Linked DNA regions of Stegostoma tigrinum. The protein of the gene in region 3 interacts with the protein of the main gene of each other region in a biochemical or structural test. Links are inferred from orthologs where the notes say so. Each region holds a gene or a part of one and is shown on either strand. Other genes may lie near its edges. The genes, in order: usp20, casein kinase I-like and claspin.

What was found.
Region 1: of the proteins of claspin (region 3) and usp20, one has a biochemical effect on the other in vitro, tested with the Homo sapiens proteins (2 studies listed by BioGRID, with this or other methods). The link is inferred for Stegostoma tigrinum from reciprocal best matches to the Homo sapiens genes CLSPN and USP20.
Region 2: of the proteins of claspin (region 3) and casein kinase I-like, one has a biochemical effect on the other in vitro, tested with the Homo sapiens proteins (2 studies listed by BioGRID). The link is inferred for Stegostoma tigrinum from reciprocal best matches to the Homo sapiens genes CLSPN and CSNK1G1.

Annotation. Positions count from the first base shown.
Region 1 is NC_081382.1:39,293,342-39,303,911, forward strand, and holds the start of usp20 (ubiquitin carboxyl-terminal hydrolase 20), read right to left. Parts: upstream 4,958-10,570; 5' UTR 4,827-4,957; intron 1,792-4,826; 5' UTR 1,775-1,791; coding exon 1,694-1,774; intron 1-1,693. Other genes in the region: c29h9orf78 (splicing factor C9orf78 homolog), read left to right, coding at 9,196-9,275.
Region 2 is NC_081389.1:5,501,448-5,511,610, reverse strand, and holds the start of casein kinase I-like, read right to left. Parts: upstream 4,949-10,163; 5' UTR 4,813-4,948; intron 1-4,812.
Region 3 is NC_081377.1:22,637,584-22,647,609, forward strand, and holds the start of claspin, read right to left. Parts: upstream 4,461-10,026; 5' UTR 4,265-4,460; coding exon 4,232-4,264; intron 892-4,231; coding exon 783-891; intron 1-782.

The DNA.
Region 1 (10,570 bases), on a different chromosome or scaffold from region 3:
ATCTTGCTCACACTAACCTTTATGTCCTTGGTTCCACTGTTCCAATGAATTTTAATACAAGTTTGATGAGCAGCACTTTGTCTAGCAACTGAACTTTTCAGCTTTCTAGGTTCAACTCAAACTGAACAGTTTTAGATGATAATTTTCAATCCCACTTTGCTTGGTTTTTCTTTGCAGTTTTGTTTCCTTCCTCTTGTTTCTCTTACATTTCCTTCACTCTTTTCAGATGGCAGCAATTCAGGACTTAGAAGTCCTGCCTCCTCGAGGCATTTTTTTGAAAATTCATCCCATTATCACTTGCAGGCCTTGCAGCATGAAACCTTTGGTCATTTCATCTCTCCTGTCCTCTTACTCTATCACAGCTCTCTAGTTCTCCATCCCACAGTCCAATACCTAAACCATTTATAACTTTTCCCTCATTCTGAAACATTAGAAAGCTTACTCATTCAACACAGGTTGCCTGACTTGTAACGTGTTCCCAGCATTTTCTGCTCTTATTTCAGCTAACCAAGATCTGGAATATTTTGCCTTTGTCACTTTACATTTATCGATGGGATAAGTGAGGTCTTAAATTTGCCCATTAAAAGAAATTTCCAGCAGGGTAGTTCATCTTATATTGCCTGCATTTCTCATTATTTTTGTAGACCCCACATGACGTTGTTAATGATATGCCAGAGGATTTTGTTAATTTATAAAAATGGGGTGTGTGCAGCACATGGGGCAAAATATCAAGGACACTGATTTCGTGATTAATAACTAGAATTTGAATTATTTAAATATAGATGAGAATAACATGATGCTCTGGAAATCAGATTTGCTGATTTATGTATTCTTTACACCATACATTTCTATTTTATTCCTGTTGTTCATTGGGTACGAATTGGGGAGTTTTAGACCAGATAGGTTAGGTTAACATCTCATCCACAGGATATCAATTTGACAGAAAGGAATGAAACCAGATGGCCCACTTAGTCTCAACAATGGCAAAGAGAGTCGGTTGATGCTGCAAAGCCTTCCTTACCAACATTTAGGGTTCTTCTAAAACTGGGATGGATGCCACATAGATTCAGCAAACACCATGTCTTAGACATCATCTTCCAAATCCATGATCCCTACTGCTTAGAAGGACAAAGACAGGAAATATGTGGAAGCACCATGACCCTGCAAGGTCCCTGCCAAGCCACACACCATCCTGACTTGGAAATCTATTGCAACTCCTTCAGTGTTGCTGGGCCAAAATACCTGAGGTCCCCCCATAAAATAAGCACTGTGGGTGCTCCTACTTACTATGGAAATGAGGTTCTGGTGGGAACTAACCACCAGTTTCTCCGGGGCAATTAGGGATGGGCAATGAAATGCTGGCCTAGCTAGTGATGTCCACATACCATGAACAACTTGGGGAGAAAAAAAAAGCAGCACTTTCTCAGCTCTGCAGTGACATGTCAGCCAAGATAAGCGCTTATTGTCGGAGTGGATCTTAAATTCAAAGTCTCCTGAGACAGACAATAAAGTACTACACTAAGCCAAGAATGAGACACGACAGGAACATCATCAATGGCCACACTGCCTGTACTGTTATTGCTAACATGGTAGCGCAAGAATTTAGTTCCGGCAATGACTATAAAATGCTTCAACAGCATTTCGGACTTTCTGTACTTCATAGGCATTTACCCGATAGTAGCACTCCTTTTACCTTTGATTTCTGTAACAGCTCCTCTTTAGTGATTTCTCCTACTGAATCCAGATGAGGGCAGATATCAGTAGTATCAGACATCTTCCCAAACTTCAGCACTGTAATAAAAATTACAGCTATTAAGATCAAACAGACTGCCCCATTATTGCCATTAGGCGCAGATGTAAATTAATCTGTCTCTAATTTAAAAGCAAAATACTACGGATGCTGGAGATATGATATAAAAACAATGTGCCAGAGATACTCAACAGGTCTGGCAACATTTGTTGACAGTTAACATTTTGTATCCAATTGCTCCAAAGAAGAGTCATAGTGGAACTGAAGCATTAATTCTGTTTCTCTCTCCAGATTCTGCCAGACCAGCTCAAGTTCTCCAGCACATTTTGCCTTTAACATCAGCAAGCTTATTCAACATAATAATATATTAAAAAATTAGAATAGTCAGACAAAAGGTTTGGAATACAAAATACATCCTGATAGAGTCAAACAGCACAGAAACTGACCTTTTGGTCCAACTTGTCCATGGGTCCCTTTTAAATCTTTGTCCTCTCACCTTAAGGTTATACCCTCTAGTTTTGAATTCCCCTACCCTAGGGAAAAGGGCCTTTCCCATTCGCCTTATCAATGTCTCATGATTTTAAAAGCCTCTACCAGGTCATCTCTCAACCTGCTGTGGTTCAGCGAAAAAAAAAAATCCCAGCTTCTAACTCAAGCTCTCCAATCCTGGCAACATCCTTAACTCAAAAAAAAATGTCCTGTTAGTCCTCTGCTGGAATCTCTAATTTCCCAGAATCCATGTAGCAAGTGTGACACCAACTCTATATTGTGATGTCTTTCCAAACAAAAGTCTGTAAATTTCGATGATATTGCCATTTAAATTGCAAGTAAATTGAAAATATTTCCACTTGAAAGACAACTGCAAAGTACAACATTACACAGCAAGATTCCTAAATAACAAAAATTAGAATGAGGTGAAACAGACTGCTTATCTTAGAAGGTTCTGAAGAAGGGTCACTGGACCCAATAAATTAACTCCGATTTCTCTGCAAATGCTGTCAGACCTGCTGAGCTTTTCCAGCAACTTGTTTTTATTTCTGATTTCCAGCATCCACAGTTATTTCAGTTTTTAATTTCGCTTATCAAAAAAATATTGCATTATATCTTGCTTCAGAATACAGCATCTCTGATAATGAGTGTTGTATTATACGATAATGATTAGAAAGGTGCTTTCCTTTCTCCACTCAATCACACGCCCCAATTCTTATTTGGATTACAATTCCTTGTTCGACTCACAGTTCAGACAACATTTATTGATGTGTTAATCTTGACACTCAGCAAATCCCAATTACTTAATCTTTGCGGAATTACAAGCAAATTCAGTTGTTCCCACTGTGTAGCCATTATGACTTTCTTTTTAATTAATTCATAGGATAAGAGTATCACTGGTGAAACTAGCGTCTATAGCTCAACTCCAAATTTGTCTTGACAAGGTGGTCTTAAATCAATGCAGTCCATATGATGCAAGCACACTCCAGTGTTGTGAAAGTGGTCACTGGCCTGAAAGGTGCCAGAGGAGATGGTGAATTGCTGCAGTGCATCTTACGATGGTAGCTACTGCTGCCAATGTATCAGTAGCCAATGGGGTATCAAACAAGTCAACTTCAACATCATTAGTGGTGTTAAATGCCTTGAACGTCATTGAGACTGCTTTCACTGAGACAAGTGGAAATTACTTCATTACAATCTTGGCTTGAGACTTTCAGATGGTGGTCAGGCACTGGGGAGTTAGTCATTACAAATTTCCCAGCTTTTATTCTGCTCTTACAGTCACAGTATCTAGATGGCTGATCCAATTTAGTTTTAGTCAATGTCAGCCTCAGGATACTGATAGAGGGATTCGGTGATGATAATGCCGTTGAACATCAAGGAGTGATGCATAGATGCAATCTGCTTGAAATTGGTCGTCATCTGGGACTTAAACAGCAACAAATGTCACTTATTATCCCAAGCCTGGATGTTGTCCAAATCTTGCAACAAATAGGTACAGGCTCATAGGAGCAAAATTACTGTAGATGCTGGAATCTGTACTGAAAACAGGAAGTGCTGAAATCACAGTGGGTCAGTTCAAAATTCATATCAGCTCTGATACACAGTCATCTAGGCTCAAAATGTTAGATACTGGCTTCTTCAGTGTCTGAAGACATTGCATCACCCATCAGCAAACATCCTCATTTCTTGACAGAGGGAAGGTCATTGATGAAGTAGTTGAAAATTAATTGGTGTGGAACACGACTAATGCTAAACATGAAACAATTCTCTTCAAACCAGATAAAAGTTAAAACCTGCACAAACCCCACCTAGGTTGCCAATGGGCTCAGCGAGGGACCAATGGTTCTGTCTGTCAGCAGCTTCTCCATCTCAACATCAAATCTGCTACACAGATAGCGGAACTGGCTGCGCATTTTAATTTTAACATCAAATAAGTAAAATGCTAGAAAATATTATGCAGCTCTGTTCGCATTGGTGGAAGGAGCAAAGCAAACATCAATGCCTGATGAAATCCATCACGTTTTTTTCCCTCTTGCCAAAAATACTGCTTGAGCTGCTTATTCCCAGCAGTCAGTGTACATTGCCTTTGATACTTTAGGCTTTAATAACAAAACACCTGAACATTCAGATGAAAATACACATTAAAAAGTCGGTGATAGCGAATTGGGCTGATGAAGAGGCACGCACAGACACACCTACCACCACCCCCCCACTCTGAAGCAAATCCTCCTTCTCACACCCAGACTCACAACTGCAATTCAACCCGATTCTGAAACTTACTCCACAAACGCCTGCCCGAGACTCAAAGCAGATCTCCCCCAGACACAAACACGCCCCCACAAGACACCCCTACCCCTACCCCTTCCCAAAGACCCAAACGGGGCCCCCTACCCAAGACTCAAAGTTGTGCCCACCCGCTCTCATGCTGTAACCCCCACCCCCCCAGACTGAGTGCCTAACCCAGCCGCGCCCCCTCCCCATTCAGCGCCGACACCTCAAAGCGACACAAAAGCACCGCTGCGTACATTTGCGCCGAGTTTCAAAATCCGCAGCCGGGTGCGCACAAGGAAGACACGGGGCGTACCTGCGCCTACAATGTCCCGGTGCGGGTCCCGCTTCTTCTCCCGATCCCTTCCCCCCGCTTACGTCTCACGAGATATTTTCCTTCAGCAGAGAATAAGCGGCACCGTCTCCATCTTGGGGAGCTCCAGGGCCACGGCGTGCACTCTGGGGAATGTAGTTCCCGACGGGTGGCCCGGATGGAAGACGACCTCCAACGCCATAGGCCGCCGCTGAGCCTTCTGGGAGATGTAGTTCGTACCGATGCGCCTCCCGCTTTCCCGGATGACGTTCGGTTGCTGTGGCGTCATTTGGGACACACCCCCGAGCGGTCGGATAGTGCGCATGTGCTATGTGGCCACGCCCTGGAATGTCCAGGACTCATGGGCCAGGCCATTCAGCCCAAAAAGTTTATGCTAGCAAAACAATCAGCTTCTTACTTTAATTAAAACAAAAGTCTGTTTTGAAGATAATAAAATGTGAGGGTGGATGAACACAGCAGGCCCAGCAGCATCTCAGGAGCACAAAAGCTGACGTTTCGGGCCTAGACCCTTCATCAGAGAGGGGGATGGGGTGAGGGTTCTGGAATAAATAGGGAGAGGCGGACTGAAGATGGAGAGAAAAGAAGATAGGTGGGGAGGTAGGGCGGGGATAGGTCAGTCCAGGTAAGACGGACAGGTGAAGGAGGTGGGATGAGGTTAGTAGGTAGGAGATGGAGGTGCGGCTTGGGGTGGGTCTGTTTTGAAGAAGGGTTTCAGAGATAGTAGGAACTGCAGATGCTGGAGAATCTGAGGTAACAAGGTGTAGAGCTGGATGAGCACAGCAGGCCAAGCAGCATCAAAGGAGCAGGAAAGCTGATGTTTTGGGCCTAGACCCTTCAGAAGGGTTATCTCTGAAGAAGGGTAACAGGTCTTGAGAGCTAGCTCTGCTTTCTCTCTACAGATGCTGCTAGACCTGCCAATTTTCTCAAGAACTCTCCGTTTTTCATTATTTTCCACCTTTATTCTTTCTTAGCAGGTGAATGTCACTGGCACACATCAGGCATTCTGAAACACGCATTTATTACCCATTCCCAATTGTGCTCTGTCTAAATGGCTTGCAAAGCCATTTTCAGAAATTTCCACAAGATTTGGAATGTGATTCCACAAAAACCAGTTCAGGCCAAACATTACATGATTTCAAGAAGCTATTGGACATAGGACTTGGGGGAGAAAGGATTGAAGGGTATGGGGAAAAAGTGAAAACGGATTATTGAGTTAGATGATCAGCCATGATTATAATGATTGGCAGAGTAGCCCTAAGGTATCAAAAGACCTGCCCCTGCAGCTATTTTCTATTTTTATATGTAACATAGATCCTTAACAATAAAAAGGATTTATGGTGGCAAATCGACAAAATGCAACTCAAATGGTATCAGTGCACATTGCCATAATACATATCAGTTTCTAGTGCTCAGTCTTACTTCCCGTTTTGCTTCTGAATATTTCTTTCAAATGCAGAAAATAGGGTACTGCCATTTAAAACAGCCTTTGCGATCCATCTGCACGTGTCCACTTGCACTCATGACGTACCATTGGTGAAACCATGCAGCAGTGTCAAGTCTATGTGCATGTCCAAAAAAATTTTAAACAATTGCAAACCACATCTAATCTTTGTTGTTCTGTTGTATGTTAAGGCAATCATTGATAAAAAGCTGAAGAGGCTTCTGCCATAAAATTGAAAGGAAAGTGCTTAGATTGGGTACATGTAAAACCAAGAGACAGCTCTTAAGGGAGATCAGAGTTGGGTAAATGGAAGCAAAGTGCAATGGTTCTCTTCAAACGGAGAGGATCCGTACATTATAAAATTGCAATTTCCAGTATGCTGACAATTATCCAGCCTGTCCTCCCAAATGTAATTTCTTTAGGTCTTACTTATAAAACAGGCATGTTGTTGGATGAGAGTTAAAACCAAGACTCCAAATTTAGTGCTCCACCTACTGGTGGCATAGGCCACAATTGTAGCCCTATAATATCTACGGTTAACATCTACACTGCTCCAAACCAAAACACCAGTTTAGACCTGTGACTCTTCTTCACAACCCGACTCCTCACTTTGTCCTTTGTTCTGTGGTACGTTGCTCCGATCCAGGGCCAAGAGACAGGAATCACAAAACCTGGTGCTGCTCCTGGGAACGTGGCTCCCAACCTGATCACAAAAAGTCCCACCTCCTGACCCAAGCACGGTTGGCCTCTTAAAGAGATAATGGGAACTGCAAATGCTGGAGAATTCCAAGATAATAGAATGTGAGGCTGGATGAACACAGCAGGCCAAGCAGCATCTCAGGAGCACAAAAGCTGACGTTTCGGGCCTAGACCCTTCATCAGACAGTCTGATGAAGGGTCTAGGCCCGAAACGTCAGCTTTTGTGCTCCTGAGATGCTGCTTGGCCTGCTGTGTTCATCCAGCCTCACATTTTATTATCTTGGCCTCTTAAAGCACCAGTCTCCGTTATTGGGCTCTGGTGTACACCCTTGTTCCAAGATGCCCTGACTTTCCCTTATGTTCCATTCCCTCTTTTTCTACACTACCAAAATCATCACTTTTCCAACAACTTGCAGTTCCAAAGAAACTCAAAACATTAACTGTGTTTATTCCTTTCCACAGATGCTGCCGGGCCTGCTGGGTTTCTCCAGCATGTTCTTATTTTATTCTGTCTTCTCAATATTTTTCAGTGGGACGAGGATGAAAGAAAAGGTCTGTGATAGAGTTGCAACAGGGAGAAATTGAATGACAGAAAATTTAATCCTGAGGGCTAAAGTGAAAGCGCTGAAAACCTATAAGGATCTGGATAACTATTTTTCCTAATTCTAATAAAAAGTCCAAGATCTCAAATCATTGGGGGGAATGTGGGCGGGCGTTGAATCTTGACAGAGTGGATGTGGAAAAGATGTTTCTTCTTGTGGGAGAATCTAGAACTAGAGGTCAGTCATTGAAAAAAAGAAAGAAATTTACATTTTTTTATTGTCACATGTACTCAAGTACAGGAGTACAGTGAAAAGTGTCAAATGTCACCAAGTTACCTTGGTATCTAGGTACAAAGTGATAGAGAGAAACAAAGTTAAAAGTTCAACATTACAGACCACCTCGAGAAAAATAAAGAGATAAGGTAATAGTTAACATTGAAGTTCTTCTTAATATTAAGTAGAAAAATAAAGAAATATTTAAAATTTCAACTGTCTTTCTTGAGCGCTTAGCCATGCTGGGGCCCCAATCTCCTCCACTTAGTTCGTTCTCTGGTGACCCTAGCAGCGTTTCCTCACCGCCGCTGACACAGATACTGGGGGACATCCCTCACCGCTCATTCCTCCCATGTTCTCATAGATGGTCCCATCTTCCTCAAAAGGCAGTATAAGCAGAGTCCTTGATTATCTTTAAAGCAGAGGGAGCTAAATTCTTGATAAGCAAGTAGGTGAGAGATTATCAGTGGTATGCAAGCATGTAATCAGAACACCACGATCCTACTGAATGGCAGAACAGGCTTGAGAGGTCGAGCATAATAATCCTGCTCCCATTATTTTATATATAGAAAATATTAATTAAGTATCTCTCTCTCTACACAAATACTTCAATAAACTGATGAGTTCAGATTGTGGTTGATCTTTTTACAACATGAAAGGTTAAGGAGATATACGCTGGGGACAAAAGACCACAAGAAATAGGAGATAGTAAGAACTGCCGATGCTGGAGTCAGAGATTAGACAGTGTTGAGCTGGAGGTACACAGCAAGCCAGGAAACATCAGAGAGGCAGGAACATTGACATTTCAGGTCAGGACCCTTCTTCAGAAAAATACATCAACTTTCTCGCTCCTCTGATGCTGCCTGACCTGCTGTGTTCCTCCAGCTCCACATTTTTTTTTTGTAAAAAGAAATAAGAGCAAGGATATTGCATTTGACAAAAACAGAAATTGCTGAAGAAACTCAACAGGCCCGCGGAGATAAGTAGGTGTAGACCTGGAGTAAACTTTGGATCCTGTGAGCCGCCTTCGCAACGGTCCTGAAACATCAACATCCTCTTTCTTTCCACAGAAACTGCTGACTTTCTCGAGAATCCAGTGTTTTGCTTCTTCGGGTGAGTTATTGAAGAAGGCGTGAGTATCCCTGCGGGGCGTGAGTATCTGTACTGCACAGACTGTGAGAATGGCAACATTGCGGGACTGGGTCACATGATGCCGTGCCCGCTGCACTGTGGGAAATGGAGTCCGGGAGTCGCCGGAACCTGTCCGTTGAACCGGAAGTTCCTCGGTCCGACCTCCGTTGTCAGTCTGCCGCGAAAGTCGGTGTGGTTTAGTGAGTAACGGGGTTTTGAAAAGAAACTGTGTTTGAGCTAAAAGAAGGTTGCACTGGGCCCCGGAATGCCGGCGGGGAAGAGCTACCGCAGGAGGAGAGAGGAAGAGTCGGATGAGGAGGATGAGCAGAGGGTGGTGGAGGTCAGGTGAGAGCCGAGGCTTCAGTGGTCCAGCTAGGCCTCTTGCCCTCAGCCCCAAAGAATAGCCCAGCCGGCGAGGTTCTTCAATCCATTTCTGAACTGTTAACTGCTTTAAGGGTTCAAGCTTCTGGAGAGGACAGTCTTTGTCTTTACGTGGCGCTATTTGTACTGCAGGAAACGCAGCATCAAGATTGTGCCCAGCAAACTCCCACACGAATGTGACGATAACAAACTATGTTGATTGAAGGATAAATATCGACCCAGAACCCGGGGAATAGTCAACAGATCTGGCAGCATCTATGGAGAGAGAGAGAGAGAGAACTGGAGTAACATTTTAAGTCTGATATCAGAGCCATATTTGACTTGAAACGTCAGCTCGTTTTATCTAACCACGGATGCTGTCTGACCTGCTCAGTATACCCAGAACGTTTCCAATATGTGTTCCAGACATGTTCAGTCTGCCAGTTAGTCACTGTTTATCTGCTGAATTTCGGATAGTTTTGCATTTGAGATAGAGCATCAGCCGGAGGATTGTGCTGACTGGCAGAGTGAGTTTGATGAGCTGAATATTCCACACCACCCATTTTTCTATGCTTTGATTTTCAGTTTTTATCTTCAATTTCCAGCACTTGCTTTGCTCTTACAATGGAGGAGCTTCCTTGCTCTTCAAAATAGCGGCCATTGGATATTAGTCCAGTCCAAAAATGTACAGGTTAGGTGGATTGGTGAAGTTCCTTGTGGAGTCCACGGTTGTGCAGGCTAGTTGGGTTAGCCATGGTAAATGTGGGATTATGGGGATAAAGTAGGAGTTGCTGTTTAGAGGGTTGGTGCAGATCTGATGACCTCTGCTTGCACTGCGGGGATTCTATCATTTGACATCTACCCAAGCAGGCACATGGTGTTTCTTGTCTCAACAGAGAAACAACACGTCCAACAGTCAGGCCGTCCCTTAGTATAACATTCAAGCTCCACCCTATGCTCTGGACCATAGCTGACTGCTGAAGTCTAAAACATCCTCTGAGTGAATGCATACAGTTTGGTGGCTGCCTCATGTTCAATACATAATTCAGTCTTCGTCCTCAAAAAATGCCTTTAACTCTGTGAAGATTGAAAATAGCCACAGTTGCCGAGGCTTTCGTCAAAACAGATTAATTCAGAGCCAGAAGTTGATTAATAGGGCCCCTCCAGCCTGCTGTGCCATTTGATAAGATTGCGTCCTCTACTCCACTTTCCTTTGTAGCTAATACTGTCTTATTAATCAAGAATCTTCTATTTCTGGCTTAAAAAATATTCAATGACCC
Region 2 (10,163 bases), on a different chromosome or scaffold from region 3:
CTACTATTCTAAATAAAGATGAACACCCAGACATCATTACCAAGATTACCAACCAATGCTGTAGCTGATATCAAGGATCCAAATCAGTGCTGACATAGTGATTTATGAGGGGCACAGGATCCAAAAGGTGAGACAGAACTGCATTCTCAGTAATCAGTTAATTCTAGCAATTTACATTAGCCACTTCAATTTCAGTAAATCATAACCAGTACTCAAAATAGATATTAAAGACCATTCATGAGAAACCATATTACAGCAACAATAACACAGCTGAGCATCCTACTATCAAAGTCATTCAGCACAGAAACAGACTCTTTGGGAATATTGTCAGCGTGGACTTGTGGACCAAAGTAAATTAGTCCAACTTGCCTGCGTTTGGCCCACATCCCTCTAAACGTTTCCTATTCATACACTTTTACAAACATCTAAATGTTGTAACTGTATCCGCATCCACCGCTTTCTCTGGCAGTTCATTCCACATACAAACCACCCCGTATAAAGACACTTCCCCGCTTGCCTCTTAACTCACACCTACACTTTCCATCTGACAAAACTGCACACACTTTGCAATACCAGGGACCATTTGGCCCCACTTGTCCATGCTGGTGTTATGCTCCACATCAGTCTCCTGCTTCCACTTTTCATCACAGTCTATCAACAGAATCTTGGATCACATTCTCTCGTGTCTGTGTATTTAGCTTCCCCATAAACCGGCCATCTCAAATACTTTTAACATAATGGCTTCGCTTTGCATTGAGGCAAGGCTGGGGGAACAAAAAAAAACGCATCCTTCGGCAGAGAGCAGGAAGATGAGCTTTGTCAGGTTGAGAGTCAGCACCTGAAAAATGCCAGCCCTTCTGCTACCAGGGACTCCTCTGCCTTCTCATGTAGCAAATGCACCACTCCGCACCACAGACAGACAGACAGACACACAGATAGAGAATAACAGAACTTCCAAGGAGCTTGTCAGAATCAGTGATCAAAATATTAATACAGACATGTGCTTCACCTTCACCCATTTATTTTGATCCTGGCAGATTTGCACCTTAACTCTATTCTCTCCTTTTCGGTCCTGCTTAGTACTCTGTTGCACATCAAAATTTCTACATGAAGCCACAAGAGAAACAGGGAATAAACAACAGGTAAGGCAGGCAAGAGGAGTGACAGCCAGTCAACATTTTCCTCCATTTCCCAATTTGCAGCTTTAAACATCAGCTTAAAAAGAGATTAAGTTTCTGAAGCAGCAATTCTGGGAGAAAAACTGTAACAAGATATCCAAAACCAAGCTGAATCACCACTCCTGTTTATTTCTGCTGACTGTAATTCATCCCTGACTCAATCGTTCAACTTGTATTTTGAACCTCGTTCCATTCCTAGTCCCACGCTCCCCCTTTCTCAACCAGCATGCCACCTGCTCCCACATTTGGCAGTCAATATTTGGCTCTGATCTGAGTCAATTTTTCCATCATCTATACTGCCAGTCTTCACCCTGCTTCAGTCCATTACCACTGACTCACCCAACCTACCCAGGCCAGCTTTTATCTTTATGCCTCTACACTGCCAACTCTTTTGAATCCCTCATTCCCAACCTTAACACATTACTTTCTTCATATTTGCAAACCAGAGTTTTCTATCTAAAATTTACTTCAAATTCAAACATACTAATTTCAACAGTTTAACAGAACAGAAAACATGAAAACACAACCATTCTTCCTCTTCTGTCCATATCACCTCCCCCATTTCCTCACAATACTTCTGTAACTGTCCCCGGTGTTGGCCCTCAGAAGCCAGTCTGCAACATTCCACCTATTCCTCTCAACAATCCACATATTCTCCTTCTCCGCTCCCCCCGTATCATCCACTGCATAAACCCCTCCCCTGCATCAACCCCCCCCACCCCTTCCTCACTTATTCCACCCCCATAGTCGCATTCATCCCTCCCCATCCAGTCATGCACACCCCACTCCCATCACACCCCCTTACTCCCCCAGGTAACCCTCCCCCCAGTACTTGCCCCTCCCCCTCCACCCAGTGCTCTTACTCGCCTCCACCCAGTGCTCTTACTCCCCTCCCTGCACTCCCCCAGGGCTCCCTCCCTCACCCCCACGCCCCTCCCCATGCTCCCTTCCCCCCACCACCCCCCTAGTGCTCCCTTCCCCCCACCTACCCCCTAGTGCTCCCTCGCCACCCCCCCACCTACCCCCTAGTGCTCCCTCGCCACCCACCCCCTAGTGCTCCCTCGCCACCCCCCCCCTAGTGCTCCCTCGCCACCCCCCCCCTAGTGCTCCCTCGCCACCCCCCCCCTAGTGCTCCCTCGCCACCCCCCCCTAGTGCTCCCTCGCCACCCCCCCCCTAGTGCTCCCTCGCCACCCACCCCCTAGTGCTCCCTCGCCACCCACCCCCTAGTGCTCCCTCGCCACCCACCCCCTAGTGCTCCCTCGCCACCCACCCCCTAGTGCTCCCTCGCCACCCACCCCCTAGTGCTCCCTCGCCACCCACCCCCTAGTGCTCCCTCGCCACCCACCCCCTAGTGCTCCCTCGCCACCCACCCCCTAGTGCTCCCTCGCCACCCACCCCCTAGTGCTCCCTCGCCACCCACCCCCTAGTGCTCCCTCGCCACCCACCCCCTAGTGCTCCCTCGCCACCCACCCCCTAGTGCTCCCTCGCCACCCACCCCCTAGTGCTCCCTCGCCACCCACCCCCTAGTGCTCCCTCGCCACCCACCCCCTAGTGCTCCCTCGCCACCCACCCCCTAGTGCTCCCTCGCCACCCACCCCCTAGTGCTCCCTCGCCACCCACCCCCTAGTGCTCCCTCGCCACCCACCCCCTAGTGCTCCCTCGCCACCCACCCCCTAGTGCTCCCTCGCCACCCACCCCCTAGTGCTCCCTCGCCACCCACCCCCTAGTGCTCCCTCGCCACCCACCCCCTAGTGCTCCCTCGCCACCCACCCCCTAGTGCTCCCTCGCCACCCACCCCCTAGTGCTCCCTCGCCACCCACCCCCTAGTGCTCCCTCGCCACCCACCCCCTAGTGCTCCCTCGCCACCCACCCCCTAGTGCTCCCTCGCCACCCACCCCCTAGTGCTCCCTCGCCACCCACCCCCTTGTGCTCCCTCGCCACCCACCCCCTAGTGCTCCCTCGCCACCCACCCCCTAGTGCTCCCTCGCCACCCACCCCCTAGTGCTCCCTCGCCACCCACCCCCTAGTGCTCCCTCGCCACCCACCCCCTAGTGCTCCCTCGCCACCCACCCCCTAGTGCTCCCTCGCCACCCACCCCCTAGTGCTCCCTCGCCACCCACCCCCTAGTGCTCCCTCGCCACCCACCCCCTAGTGCTCCCTCGCCACCCACCCCCTAGTGCTCCCTCGCCACCCACCCCCTAGTGCTCCCTCGCCACCCACCCCCTAGTGCTCCCTCGCCACCCACCCCCTAGTGCTCCCTCGCCACCCACCCCCTAGTGCTCCCTCGCCACCCACCCCCTAGTGCTCCCTCGCCACCCACCCCCTAGTGCTCCCTCGCCACCCACCCCCTAGTGCTCCCTCGCCACCCACCCCCTAGTGCTCCCTCGCCACCCACCCCCTAGTGCTCCCTCGCCACCCACCCCCTAGTGCTCCCTCGCCACCCACCCCCTAGTGCTCCCTCGCCACCCACCCCCTAGTGCTCCCTCGCCACCCACCCCCTAGTGCTCCCTCGCCACCCACCCCCTAGTGCTCCCTCGCCACCCACCCCCTAGTGCTCCCTCGCCACCCACCCCCTAGTGCTCCCTCGCCACCCACCCCCTAGTGCTCCCTCGCCACCCACCCCCTAGTGCTCCCTCGCCACCCACCCCCTAGTGCTCCCTCGCCACCCACCCCCTAGTGCTCCCTCGCCACCCACCCCCTAGTGCTCCCTCGCCACCCACCCCCTAGTGCTCCCTCGCCACCCACCCCCTAGTGCTCCCTCGCCACCCACCCCCTAGTGCTCCCTCGCCACCCACCCCCTAGTGCTCCCTCGCCACCCACCCCCTAGTGCTCCCTCGCCACCCACCCCCTAGTGCTCCCTCGCCACCCACCCCCTAGTGCTCCCTCGCCACCCACCCCCTAGTGCTCCCTCGCCACCCACCCCCTAGTGCTCCCTCGCCACCCACCCCCTAGTGCTCCCTCGCCACCCACCCCCTAGTGCTCCCTCGCCACCCACCCCCTAGTGCTCCCTCGCCACCCACCCACCTACCCCCTAGTGCTCCCTCGCCACCCCCCCACCTACCCCCTAGTGCTCCCTCGCCACCCCCCCACCTACCCCCTAGTGCTCCCTCGCCACCCCCCCACCTACCCCCTAGTGCTCCCTCGCCACCCCCCCACCTACCCCCTAGTGCTCCCTCGCCACCCCCCCACCTACCCCCTAGTGCTCCCTCGCCACCCCCCCACCTACCCCCTAGTGCTCCCTCGCCACCCCCCCACCTACCCCCTAGTGCTCCCTCGCCACCCCCCCACCTACCCCAGTACTCCCTCGCCACCTCCCCAGCACTCCCGTCCTCCCCGCCTACCCCAGTACTCCCTCTACCCCAGCACTCCCTAACCTGCCCATACTCTTGCCATCCCCTCACCCCTCCCTATACTCTCCACCTCCTCACTCCCCATCCCTGTACTCACGCTCTGTCTCGTCCCCCTCTTTCTCTCCACACTCCTTCTCCTATTCCTCCTCCTCCTCCTCCTCCTCATACTCTCCCTCACTATCTCCTCACTCCCTATTCTCTTGCCTCCGTTATCGCTCCTGCTCCTGCTCCCGCGCCCCTCGGATCTCCCTCACACCCACCCCCCGGCTTCCGGGGCACTTACTGCGCGTCTGGCTCTGTTCGGTACCGCCGTTTCTGTCCCGCGTCCCGGGCTTTTCTCTGGGATTGTTTTCTGGAATTCTTTTTTCCTCTCTCTCCTCCTCCTCCGGAAGACAAGGGAAAGCTCCAGGAGCAAAACCGGAAAAGCAGCCTCGCAGCAACTGCTTCCGGGTCAGTGTGCCTTGGGTTGGGAGGGGTGGCGGCGCCGTGACGTCACGGGTCGGCACATGGCCCCATAGAGGCCTTGTGGTTGGTATTGGAGCCAATGGGTCACCTGGGTGTCAAGCTCTGTATTTCCATCCCACTGAATTAATATGAATGAAAAATTATTACTAAATATGCAGTGAGTCTAGTGACTTCCTTCCAAGGCATCCTGCCTGCCAGGAGCCGGAATTGCTTTTCATAGACAGATAGAATTCCTATAGTGTGGGAACAAGTCGGCCCAGTAAGTCCACGCTGCCCCTCTGAAGAGCATCCTACCTAGACCCATCTCCCTACCCTTTCCCATAACCCTGCATTTCCATGTCTAATCCACCGAGCTTACACAACCCCGATACTATGGGCAATTTAGCAGGGCCCATCCACCCAATCTGCACATCTTTGGACTGTGGGAGGAAACCCTCACAGACACAGGGAGAACGTGCAAACTCAGCACACAGACACTCACTGCGAGATTGGAATCAAACCTGGGTCCCTGAGGCAGCAATGCTAACCACTGAGCCACCATACCAACTCCCTACAACTTCCTCCTTCTGATATACTTGACACCGCCATCTTCCCCCATCTCTGCATTCCCCAAAGATACATCATCATCCTGTCATCCAAAAGTAGCGAGCTTTCGTCATTCACACCATAAACAGAGACAACCTCTTGGGGCTTATTCCATCATGTAAATAGACAAAACCTGATCTGTATCCCACTCTATTTACATGACTTTCCGCCTCATACATTGATATTTCAATATGGTGAGGTGCTGTTATCTAACTACACCAGTCATCCATTAGCCCAGGCAATTGTTCAACATCTTATTGTTTCATAATCATTAAGAAATCAAGCATTATGGGGAAAAGGCTGGAAATTGGAGTTGAGAACAATTAGGTCAGCCATGATCTCATTAGATGATGAAGCAGATTGCATATTTAATAACAATTTTTCAAAAGTTAAGAATTTGGGCCAAATGGTCTACCGCTGCTTCTGTATGTTATGGTCTTATGCTTCTAGGACAAGGATTCAGATCCTTGTACTCAGCTGTATCAATCATTACAAAACCTCAAAGAAATGAAACTGGACAGGCTATCAACCTAGGAACCAGAACAGAGACAGGCAAAACAGACCTGTCGACCCTGCAAAGTCGTCCTCGCTAACATAGAGAGGTGGGTGCCAAAATTAGGAGAGCTGTCTCAGACGCTTGCCAAGCACCAGCCTGACTGATGATTGCCAAAGTCATGACCACTGCCAAGTAGAAGTACAAGTGCTCTAGATACACGAAAACATCATCATCACCTGCAGGTCCTCTTCCAAGCCACTCACCGTTCTGATCTGGAAATATATCACCATTCCTTCTCTGCCACTGGGTGAAAATCCTGGGATCCCCTTCCTAACAGCTTTCTGAATTAACCCACAGCAGGTAGAATGCAGCAGTTCAAGAAGGCAGCTCATCACTAACTTCTCAAGGGAAACTAGGGATAGGCAATAAATGATGGCTAGGCCTCAACTGCCCCATCCTGAGAATTTTTTTTTTAATTTCCACTAAAGCAGATGGCTAGCATGTTTGATCATCATAAAAAGCCATCCAATTTACCAATGTCCTTTAGGGAAGGAAATCTGCTGATCTGATCTGGTGTGGCCTACTTATGACTCCTGACCCACAGCAATGTGGTCGATTCATAACTGCTTTCTAAAATGGCTGGGAGTGATAATCAATTCAAGACCAGTGAGGGATGGGCAACAAATGCTGACCTTGCTCATGGCACCCAGGTTCGATGAAAAAATATAGAATTATCCTGACCCAACAGAGTTTAGGAACCTAGGAAAGAAGCAGCAAACAGGATGTCAGATAATAAAATGTGAGGCTGGATGAACACAGCAGGCCTTGAAGGGTCTAGGCCCGAAACGTCAGCTTTTGTGCTCCTGAGATGCTGTTGGGCCTGCTGTGTTCATCCAGCCTCACATTTTATTATCTTGGATTCTCCAGCACCTGCAGTTCCCATTATCACACGCAAACAGTATGTCAATAGGTATCCCCCAGCCACACGTCCATGAGTATAGCATAGAAGAGATGGAGCAGCTAAATCTGTAGTGATAATGAAGATGAGAGAGCTTTGATTTCTTGCAACATTGGGGCTAATTCTGGGGAGATGAATGCTATGCAGCCTGGTTGGATTGCACCTAAACTGTCAGGACCAATGTCCCAGAGGATACTTGCTGTGACAGGTGTGTGAGAATCAGGATGTAATATTTGAAAGGAAAACCTAGGTCTATAGAGAAAAACAGTAAGTATGAGAGTACGAAATTGTATAGTATTCGATGGGATCAGAATAAGAGGGAAGGTAATCAGGTTTAAATTAGTTTTACCCTGCAGATATGACACACAAAATGCAGTAAATAAGATTGTTGGACTGCAGATGCAGATAGCAACATAGGATATTTGCACTGTGGCAATAATAGAGTTCTGGCTGGAAGAAGGGCAAGACTGTGCGACTAATGACCTGGTATGAAATATTCCTCAGTAGATATCATTCAGGAATTGTAGGGAAGGCAAGAAAGGAGAGGGTGGAGGGTGGGAGTACTGACGAAGGAATTCTGGGTTAATGGATTAAGAGACGTACTGCTATGGCCAAAGACAGAATCTGTTTGAGAAGAGCTAAGAAACATTACAGGCATTGATATACTGCTGGGTGTGTTCAAAAAACCGCCCATAGTGAAAAACTTGTAGAGGAACACATCTGCAAGGAAATTACAGTGAAGTGCAATAATCATTGAGTACTATTAATAGGAGACTTCAGTTGTCCTAACACAGTTTGAGATCTAACAGTGTCAAGGATGGAGAGGGACAAGTGTTTTCAGGATAATTTTCTACAACAATATGTCAATGAAAAAGAAAACATTATTGGATTAGTTCTAGAAAACGAAATGGACTAGGTGGTGTTGTCAGTAAGAGAATGTGTAGGGAAGAGTGATCATAATATCATAAGGTTTTGGTCAATGAAAGAAAATATCCTTTAGGGAGAAAATTCCAGCATCCTTATCTAGCCATGCTTACGTGTGATTTCAGACCCACAGCAATGTAAGTGACTCTTAACTGTCCCCTGAAATGGCCCAGAGGGCCAAGCCATTCAAAGGCAACTAGGGATGGGCAACAATCCACATACCAATCAAGAATAAAACTAAAGGAGGTTTCCTTAGTCACAATAGATCAAATTTCGTATGGTGAGAATGGATCTGGCCCAGGCAAATTGAAACCAAAGATTGGCTGGCACAATGCTAACAGAACAATAGCCAGTTTTAAACAGGGTATTGTTAAGGTACGGTAAATAGGTGCATTCTTCCCACAGGAGGAAGAGTAGGATGACCAACTACATTGTCTAGGCTTTTGACTGGCAGTGTTCAACCGTGCTATTGCCACAGGGAAGTTTGAGTCAGGACAGAGATGGAATTGGAGACAACTACTACCAAGGTAGCCAGGTTAAAAGGCCAGCCTACATTTGCCCATGCATTGGCCCAGCTCTGAGGATGAGTACATTGGCAATCCTGCAGCTACCACAGCATTCTTACTCTCCATAACCCACTCCAATATGAACGGGATTCAAAGGCTGTGTAATGATGTTGGGATATCTTTGAGAAGCTCATAAATCTATCAAAATAAACACGCTACTTACTTTTTAAAAAATTGTCCTCGAAACAATTTATAAACCTGTCAAAATAAACAAACTCATCTTCCCATTGATAGCTGCAACCAAATCCCTGCTGTATAGAATTTATTGAAAGACATCCAAGAATTCACATGATACTGAACAATAGTACCAATACATCCTCTGATGTAGAATATACTATAGCATTGTAGATAGTAGACTGTCATCTGTCAAGACTTTGGAACAGCCAAATAAAAATCTGCATTGCAATTCAAAAGAATAATCAAAGTTCTGGACATATTTCAAACCTAGAAGATGTCAAAGGATGCATTTGCTGGATACTTGTAGATAATGCAGATGAGAACCAGATTGAATAATGGAAGGTTTAGAAGGGAAGTGAAAATAGAAGTAAGGGAAGCGAGGAAAAAGTGTAAGAGACGGGCAGCTACTTCTCTCTAAACATCATAAATGTGTAGAATTCAATACCCCAGCGATGGTAGAAGTTGGAGTAATGAATAAATCTCAGGAAAAGAAAGACATGTTTAATTAGTAATGGCGTTAAAGGTTAAGGGGGATCAGGCAGGAAAGTGGGGTTGAGGACAAGATGAGATCAGCGGAGCCAGCCCGATGGGCCGAATGCCTACTTCTTATATTCTTGTGTTTTAACATAAAATGGAATGCAAAAGTCTTCTATAAGCAAATAAATAGGAAAACAGTGGTAAAAGGAGAAGTGGGATTGATTAGGCACCTTAAAGGGAATTATTGAAATTAATAGGGGAGGCAATGATCTAGAAGTATTATCCAGTGACCCAGATAATGTTCTGGGGACCCAGGTTCAAATCCCGCCACAGAAGTTGGTGGAATTTTAATTCAATAAATATTTGGAATTAAGAATCTAATGATGACCGTGAACCCATTGTCGATTGTTGGAAAAACCCATCTGGTTCACTAATGTAGGGAAGGAAACTGCCATCTGGCCTACATGTAACTCCAGATCCACAGTAATGTGGTTGACCCTTGACTGCCCTCTGGGCAATTAGGGATGGGTAATAAATGCTGGCCTGGCCAGTGATGCCCTCATCCCATGAATTATAAGGAAACAAAATGGGGTTAAGGGTTAACAGATGCTGTGGGCCTGACAATTTGCATTCCAGAGTATTAAAGGAAATGGTCTTCCAATGTGAAAAATAGAAGGAAGAGTATTATTTAAAGGGAGATAGAATGGGAAGTGCAGATGTACAAAGGGACCTGGACATCCTGATACACCAGTCAGTCAGAGTTAATGGGGCAGGAGCAGCAAGCAGTTAGAAAGACAAATGATAAATTAACATTCATTGTAAAAGGATTTTAATTCAAGAATAGGAATGTTTTACTATGGTCATACAGTGACGTGGTGATACCACACCCCTAGAGTATTATGATCACCTTTGATCTCATTATGTACGAGGACATATGCTTGCCGTTGAGGGAGTGCAACAAAGGTTCACTAGCCTGGTACCAGGTT
Region 3 (10,026 bases):
GATTCGATTATGAAGTTTTCCAAATTTGCTGCAATTACTCCTTAATAATTGATTTCAACAATTTTCCAACAATAGATGTTAGACTAATTTGTTTTTAGTTATGTGCTTTTTGCCTCCCCACTTATTGAATAGGAGTGTCATATTGGCTGTTTTCTAACCCTCCAGTCCTTACCCAGAATCCAAGGAATTTTAGAAAATTAGAACCAAAGCATCCACTATCTATGCAAACTCTTAGGATCTTTGGATGCACGGCAACAGGGCCAGGGGACTTGTGCCTTCAGCCCTATTAGCTTGTCGAATACTACGTTGCTGGTGATGGTATTTAATTCTTCACCCGAATTCATGGGATGTTTGAAGTATCTTTTATAAAGACTGAGGCAAATTATTTGTTTAACTCTACAGCTATTTGCTTATTCTGCACAACTATTCCCCCAAATTCATTTCCTAAGGGGCCAAGAATCACTGACGTCTCCTTTTTATATACAAAAGAAACTCTTATTGTCAGTTTTTATGTTCCTTGCTACCTTACCCTGAAAGTTGATTTTCTCTCAATTTATTCTGTCTAGTTTTGATGGATCCCAAATTTATCCTAGTCTAATTTTAACGTAAAAGCAGATAACTTAGATCACTGAAGCATTAACATCTGAAATATTCACATTTGTCACACTTAGAGAAAATGTGTAACAAAGTACTCCACAGAACAAACAATGGATTTGATGATAGAGAATTAATAACTAATAACTTTGCAAGCTGAAACAAATTACACATGATAGAACACAAACCTCCACCATCATGGCACATGTCTTTGTTTGAACGTGGGGAGACCATTCCATAACTTCCCTTGCCACTGTCGTTATCACTGTCATTTGTTTTTTCTTCACCAAATGTTAACTGGAAATAAAGTACAAAATCAGAGCCTACTTTGGTCACAGCTCATTCGGTGAAAAATTAGAATACGACAGAAATGGATTACAAAGTGAGCACACAAAGAGAGAAAGTTAGACACAGAACGTGTAACAACCGTTGCATTCTTCTTTGAACACAATTTCAAGCAAAAAGACTTCCTCCACCTGAAGATGATCATAAACATTTGAAAAATACAAGGGAGTCTTCAAACAGATTAATCAAATAAATCTCACAGGACTTACATGTCAGAAACAACTTTCTTGGCGATACCAGTTCATGTCAAAGTTTACGCTCTACTTGAGCATCCTCCCACCCAACTTGATTTATTATTGCTAGCATAGCCTTTGATTTCTTTCTCCCTCATGTGGTTTTTCTTAGCATTCCCTTAAAATGCATATTTATTTGTTTTGACTGCTCAACGATGTAGCAAGTTTCACATTCCAAACACACTTTAGGTTAAGAAGTTTGCCGTAAATTTAAGAGATGATCAAGCACTTTGACCCTTTTGAATATCCAAAAACTGGAAAAACATATGCTGCACCCATCTTATCAAACCCCTTTATCATTTTACAGTACTTCATCACTCAGTCTTTCCTCAAAAAGTTCCAGATAATTGAGCCTTTGCTAGTTATAAACTCAACACCAGCATTATTGACATACATCTTTGCTACACCATCACCAATGCTCTGGTGTCCTTTTAACAAACTCATTCAAATACCTTGCTGAATATACAGGTGAAAAAAGTGTTTGAAGTGGGAGATAGTGGCAATGTCACTGAACCAGAATCCAGAAGCCTGGCTACTGAGTTAAAACCACACCAGGATAGGTTAGGAATTTAAATTCAACAAATGAAATCTAGAACTAAAGCTCCTCTCATGAACCTGTGGTTGTTTTCTGTAAAACCCCTCAGTTTACTAATATCCTTTTGGGCATTTTCTTGAGGAAGGAAATTTTTCACCCATATCTGGTACTGGCCGTGACAAAAATCCAGAGTGTCTTGGTAGATTCTAAATTCCCTTCTGAGATGGCCAAGCAAGCCAGGTGGTGGAACTAGGCAGGCAACAAACATTGGCCTTGACAATGAAACCCATGAAAGAATTAGGTATCAAGGTAAAACCTGGGTAAATCATACACTCTCTACTTTGATACTACATGAAATCAAAAGAATTAAAGACATGCAAGTATCTCTGAAAGTGAGCACAAACGTTTTCACTGCTTTCAACAACCTTCGCAGAAATTCTGATGTACTCGATATTAATTGGACACATTGAATTCACTGAGTTAGAAAGCACAGTCTGCTGACCTCTATGGCAGAATATTTCAGTGAAGCATTTCGTAATAATTTGATATCTATTGCTTACTTTTCTAAATCGCTCTTCTGGCTTTAGTTCATTTTACAAGCCAAATACTCGGAAATGCTATGTTAGAACTAAGTTGATTAATATTTTATTTGTATTCAATTACATCTTCATAGCATTTTACAGCAAAAGGGATTCCATTGCCAAACTAAGATTTGTGATGGTTTGTGCTTCTTATTTGTGGCAGCCATGACATGAATGAACTTGCTGATACATTTACAATTTGGTCATTTCGAACTGCTTATGTTGCAATAACGAACAGTTAAAGTTGATTTTGCACCAACATGCACAGATATAAACTTCATTTTCTACATTTCAGCAAGTAAATGATTCAGAATATGTACAGAACCAAATAACCTCAAGTTCATGAAATGTCTTTCGTTCTCTAGGTGCACCCATCACCGTCTAGCAAAGAGACAAATGAGGAAGCAGCTACAACACAGGATGGATTTCTAGAACATGGAACAAGTACCTCAAAAACTGAATAGCTGCTGAAATGTTAGTATCATACTGGATGTCAAGACACTGCTTTACCATTCAGTCCAATATTTCTCAGCTAACAAACAGCAAAGCACTTTAATGCTAGCATTGCTGATTTGAATTCAATGATTAATTGCTGTAAACACACTAGTGTGATAAAACTGATATTGATGATGCATCTGATACTTGTGTGGGAACTTACAATGCAAATACAATGCTATGTGTGTGTTTCCAAAGTTAAACAAAGCTTTTCATCCTGTTCGCAAAGAACTACATTGGGATTGCAAACAGAATTGCAGATGTTGTTTATACATTGGTTTCACTAAATACTTGATCCAAAATCCCTAAAGGCCACCAAAAATTCCAGCTCAAAATATTAAGTTAAACTAGACCCCAAATAAGTTTGCCTATCCTCTTACTCAATATTCACGTTACATTGGATCATTGCACGATTTAGCCTAAAAGCTAGCATATCATATTCCAGATTCCAATCTAGTGGACCGAAGCTGGAACCCTGAAGATCTGACTCTGAAGATCAAAGCCAAATTATATCAAGTGCTTGGGTTGCGTTTATTAGCCCAATGACAAGGAATGACCTGGTTTGATAATTAGCCACACACAGAACTACCAAACAGTTTGGATCATTTCACCTCTCACTGTTCTAAACGGAATACACTACGTGCTCATTTAACGAGAAAAATAATGTATGGAACTGCGTGACTGCCCAAAAAGTTAAAAACAAGTAAGCTTAATCCCTTCACAGCCACTACTATATTTCACCTTACTAAGCTTTTCCTTACGTCGCCTCACGACTGCAAAGCAGTCATAAAGGTATATGGCAGTCTTCCACAAGTTGCGAAAAGATGTACAAAACAATGAAACTTAAAACTGCAAATTCATAAAAGTTAATTGCTTAAAAGTTGTGCAACAGAAGAACTAGGTAAAAAAAGTGAGCAGCATAAGTAGCGCCTACAATTTTGGGCGGTGATTAAACAGGGGAGGGAAAATTTAAGGTAGAAAGTGAATGCATGCTGCACCCAAATTATCAATAGGAAACCGCCAACTACCAACTCCCATTGTAAGGATCGTCTTAGCGAACCTAAAACAACACCCGCCAAAAAATATAAATTCACAATCTACAACAGACAGCTGGAAAATAAGACAAATCTGCAATGATCGAGTACGAAAGACAGGCCGTCATTAAAATATGAAAGGCTTTTAATTATAGAAACTGACATATTTAAACCCAGAGAGATTAAAAAGAACAATCAGCTGACAAGTCTGAAAGTGCCAACAGTCACAACGCTGTTGTTTTATTTCAGAAGGCACAGGATGATTCGCCAGACAAAAATACCGAGAAGAGTGGACTGCGGGTACAATCCCCAGTAGGTCTCAGGAGCGGAGACCGACAGCAGAGGGGCCTCCCTTCCAGCCAGCGCGCCAAGCCGGGGCCGGCCCAGCAGACCCTCCCTCCATTTTGCTCCTACCTCCGTGCACGGCTGTAGTTCGGATACTGACATCGCGGAGTAATTAACGGAAAACAAAACACTCGAGGAAGAAAAGGCGTCAGGTCGAAAAGGGCCGTGTGACTTCAGCAGCTCCGAGCGTTCCAATTAAAATAACTTCATCACGACCTTTAAAACCAAACGGCTCCAGCCCGGGAAAGCTCTGCCTCCGACTAACAAACTCTCACGGTTTCGGCCTTCGCGCCCAGCCGCTCAGCGCATGCTCCATCAGCAGAGTGCCATCCCTCCACTCCCGATTGGTGACGGGCCCCGCACAATACTCCGCCCTCTCGCTCTGTATTGTTTCCGACTCTGGAGGCGAGCCGGCCCCTTCAGTGTCGAGGCGTATCGAAACCCCGCCCGCTCTTGTGATGTCACCAGACCCCGCCCGTTCCCACAAATGATTGACATGTCCAGGATGGAACCTGGCGCCCGTCATTGGTGCGTCTTTCTCCTCTTGTGCTGCAGCGGTAAATTTGAAATAGATTTGTTGATCGACTTGCAGGTAATTCTATTCCCACAAAACCGAAATAGCTTTGCTGTTGTAATGCTGTGACGGTGTCTACACCTCTAAGCCAAGAGGCCTAGGTTTAAATCCCACTTCATCCAGAGTTGAGCCAAGATATAGAGATTCTCGAACTCGCAACCATAATGTCAAAATTTGGGCTGGACCGTTCAAGAGACATGCAGCAAGCACCTACACAGCAGTTCAGAATTCTCTTCCACAAAGACTCAGAGAACACAAACAGACACTTCAGTCTAATACGTCCTTGCCGACCAGATATCCTAAATAAATCTAGTCCTATTTGCCAGCATTTGGACCATATCCCTCTAAATGCTGCCTAATTATTTACCCATCCAGGTGCCTTTTAAACATTGTACCAGTCTCCACCACTTCCTCTGGCATTTTGGTCGGCACTCACACCACCCTCTGTGTGAAAAGGTTATCCCGATCCCTTCTAACTCTTTCTCCTTTCATCTTAAACCTATGCCCTCTAGTTTTGGACTCCCCCATCCTGGAGAAAAGACATTGTCTATTTATCCTATCCATGCCCATCATGATTTTAGAAACGTTTATAAAGGCCAACACCCCTCTGCCTCTGATGGTCCAGAGAAAATAGTCCCACTCTCCTCAGCCTCAAACCCTCCAACCCCAAACTGTTTCAAATTTCACACCATCCTTCCAATGTAGGAAAACCAGAATTGCAAGCAGCATTCCAACAGTGGCGTAACCAATGTCCTGTGCAGTCACAACATGACCTCCCAACTCATATTCTCAAAGCACTGACCAATAAAGGCAAGTATACCAAACACCCTCTTCACTAACTTATCTATCTACGATTCCACTTTCAGGGACCTGTTAACCAGCACTCTAAGGTCCCTTTGTTCAGCAATACATCCCAGGATCTTACCCTTAAGTGTACACACCCTGCCCTGATTTGCCTTTCCAAAATGCACCACCTCACATTTATCTAAATTAAACTTCAGTAACTTTTGATCAAGCAAAAGTATTGAGGGATATAGGCCAAAGGCAGGTTTACTGGCTGATCTGTGGCCACAATCAGAACAGGCCGGAAGGGCTAAATGACCTCCAGTTTTTATACTCCTATCTCTGAACAGGTAGATTAGAAAACATGTAAAATCAGTGTCTTCCCCCTCACAAAGCACAATTATAGGCAGTTCCCCTGTAACACAATAATTGAGTTCTTGTGCACCCACGTGCTATAGGGAAATTACTACAGAAAAATCACTATAGTGTACATTAGAAAGTTTGCACATCCAAACAGCGTTACACTAATAGTGTAATAGAAACACATTGAAATAGTTACACCAACATTTAACAAATATCTTTGTAAAAATACAAGCACCAAGCTTTATCTGAAAACTAAAACTGGCAAGTAACGAAGTTACATAAGCTAAACCTGCACTAGACCACGTTCAGTACTTCAAACATTTCTCCATTTCTATGTGGTAACCGGAAACGAGGTCTCTTGTGATGTAGTAGTAGAATTTTTACTTTTGAGCCAGGAGGCACGTGTTCAAGTGCTATCTGCTGCAGAGGTGTGTCATGACAGATCAGACACAGATTGATTAAAATTATCTGTTAAAGTGGAAATGCTTTAAGGGCACAAAAAATTCACAAGTATAACACAGGAATTACATAGGTACACAATAAAGCAAACTGTCCCCCTCACTTTTTCTGGTACAGCAATAATATTATCAGTTCTGCTTCACCCTCTCTTTCAGGAGGCTGCAGGGCAGAGCATAACTACATAGGCCACAAATAGAAGACGGTCACCAAGAAATCCAATGGTGAATTCAGAACAGAAAAAAAGAAATCTTCGCAGCTGAAAAGCCATAAAAAAGAACCACTACCACAGTTGGTAGTGAAAGTGCATAGCACGGGTGAAGATAAGGGACAAAACAAGCACGTGAAGAAAACTGGGAGATAGTTCAAATAGAGATAATGGGAACTGCAGATGCTGGAGAATCCAAGATAACAAAGTGTGAAGCTGGATGAACACAGCAGGCCAAGCAGCATCTCAGGAGCACAAAAGCTGACATTTCGGGCCTAGACCCTTCATCAGAGAGGGGGATGGGGAGGGGGTTCTGAAATAAATAGGGAGGGGGAGGCGGACCGAAGATGGATAGAGGATGGATAGGTCAGTCCGGGGAGGACAGACAGATCAAGGAGGCGGGATGAGGTTAGTAGGTGGGAAATTGAGGTGCGGCTTGAGGTGGGAGGAGGGGATAGGTGAGAGGAAGAACAGGTTAGGGAGGCGGGGATGAGCTGGGCTAGTTTTGGGATGCAGTGGGGGGAGGGAGATTTTGAATCTTGTTAAGTCCACATTGATACCATTGGGATGCAGGGTTCCCAAGCGGAATATGAGTTGCTGTTCCTGCAACCTTCGGGTGGCATCATTGTGGCACTGCAGGAGGCCCAGGATGGACATGTCATCTAAAGAATGGGAGGGGGAGTTAAAATGGTTCATGACTAGGAGGTGCAGTTGTTTATTGCGAACCGAGCAGAGGTGTTCTGCAAAGCGGTCCCCAAGCCTCCGCTTGGTTTCCCCAATGTAGAGGTAGCCACAACGAGTACAGTGGATACAGTATACCACATTGGCAGATGTGCAGGTGAACATCTGCTTGATATGGAAAGTCATCTTGGGGCCTCGGATGGGGGTGAGGGAGGTGGTGTGGGGGCAAGTGTAGCACTTCCTGCGGTTGCAGGGGAAGGTGCCGAGTGAGTTGGAGGTCAGTGTGGAGCGGATAAGGGAGTCGCGGAGAGAGTGGTCTCTCCAGAAGGCAGACAAGGGTGGGGATGGAAAAATGTCTTGGGTGGTGGGCTCGGATTGTAGATGGCGGAAGTGTCGGAGGATGATGCATTGTATCCGGAGGTTGGTGGGGTGGTATGCGAGGATAATGGGGATTCTCTTTAGGCTGTTATTGCGGGGGCGAGGTGTGAGGGATGTGTTGCGGGAAATGTGGGAGACACGGTCGAGGGTGTTCTCGACAACTGCAGGGGGGATGTTGTGGTCCTTGAAGAACGCGGACATCTGGGATGTGCGGAAGTGGAATGCCTCATCCTGGGAGCAGATGCGGCGGAGGCAAAGGAATTGGGAATAGGGGATGGAACTTTTGCAGGAGGGTGGGTTGGAGGAGGTGTATTCTAGGTAGCTGTGGGAGTCAGTGGGCTTGAAATGGACATCAGTTTCTAGCTGGTTGCCTGAGATGGAGACAGAGAGGTCCAGGAAGGTGAGGGATGTGTTGGAGATGCAGGTGAACTTGGAGGTTGGGGTGGAAGGTGTTGGTGAAGTGGATGAACTGTTCGAGCTCCTCTTGGGAGCAAGAGGCGGCGCCGATACAGTTGTCAATGTAACAGAGGAAGAGGTGGGGTTCGGGGCCAGTGTAGGTGCGGAAGAGGGACTGTTCCACGTAACCTACAAAGAGGCAGGCATAGCTCGGGCCCATGCGGGTACCCATGGCCACCCCCTTTGTCTGTAGGAAGTGGGAGAAATCGGAAGAAGTTACTCATCCTCACCCTCAACAACGTCTCTTTTGATTCCTCCCACTTCCTACAAACCACCAAGCCACTGTGCCACTGCAGTGGATTATTTCAGACCACAACATGAGAAGCAGCACTGTGCCATTTGGTCCATCAACAGATTGTGGCTGATTTGATAAACCTCAACTCCACTTTCCTATCTTTTCCCTTTAACCCTTGATTCCCTCATTTAAAAAAAAACCATCTGCTTCTCTCAGCCAATTAACAGATTATAGATTTTATGCCAGCAATAATTTAATTTGTGAAAGCACAAAAATGTAGTAAAATAAGCTGTAACATGAGGAAATTACTTTCAGTTTTGTTTTTCTCGACAATGTTCTTCAACAGAAGCAGTGTACATGTTCTTTTACTGAACTTTACGTTCAACATTTAAATAATAGTTTCAGACTTATTTTCTGTTTAGATGAATTAGAAATGACATTTAGACAATTTAGATTGAAAATACTTTACTCAAGTCTTATAATAATGTAAAAGAAAAGACAGATCGACACATATATACTACCTAATCACATAAAAAGATTCCAAAATGTTTAAAATAAAGTTCATCAATGGAACACCAGAAATGGACCTAAAGGAATAACACCTTTGCCCCACTACAAACACAGAGTGAGGTCAAGTGTGGACGTCAGTGCAACAGAGTCATGACATATGTACACGAAAGACCCTTTAAAATTAAAAAAAAGGGCAAAAACCTACAAATATCATATCTGAGTTTCACTGCCACTGATTTCCAGACATCAATTTCCAAATTGAGCAAGCAAATGTTTCAAATCACATATCTAGCCATTTTTGCTCCTTCTGGAAACATTTTCTCAGTAGCCCAGGAAAGACATACAGCAACGGCATTTCTGCTGCAAACTGTAATATTGCTGCCCTTTACAAATCCATTTTTTCCACCACTGGATTGGACACTTTGTGCCATTGCAGACTGTTATGCAGGACAGTCAGTGCTCCAAGATGAAGTTGCAAAAGATAATGAAAGGCATAAGCATTAGTTCAAATCATTTTTGGGGGTCAGTGGATGGAAAGGATATCTTATCTATGCAGGGAAACAAAAAACAGATCTACCAGCTGTGAAACCGTTGCACAGAAAATGAGATGTCAAAATGGTACTTTAATGGATCCAATTCTAAATGAAGTTAAAGAGTCTTACTGCCAATTCCAATTTAAGCTTTTTTTAGATTTTTCTATTCTTGTCCAAATTCGTCTGATTTTCATTCAGTACGATGTAAAGGTGGTTAGATACTGAAATTCTGCCTTAGCTATGTGGCTTAAAACTGAAACTTGGAAGCCCATCTCCTCCCCACAGCATCAGCATATAATTTCTTTAAAGTACTGTATTCAAACTGACAATTTTGATCTGGATAAGTTCTACCACATCCTAGGATTTCTATGATGTGGTCTCTTTCCCATTAAGAACTGGATTAAAATTATATAAACTAATTTTATTTAGAACCAGCTGAGCTAAGACCGGAAGTGGACGTTTTCTTTTCAATAACTTGGATTATTAGTCAACGACGCAGCTGTACAATTAACCGATAAGCTATTTCTATGTGTAAAAATCATACATTACTTCTTGCATTTCTGATTTAGAACTGTCAAAACCCTTTTTTAAAAAATTGTACGATACTGATTATGAAATATCTTCTGGAAGTGGGCCGTATTTTAGCACTTCTCAACCAAAGTTGAAAATGCATGAGTGCAGCAGATA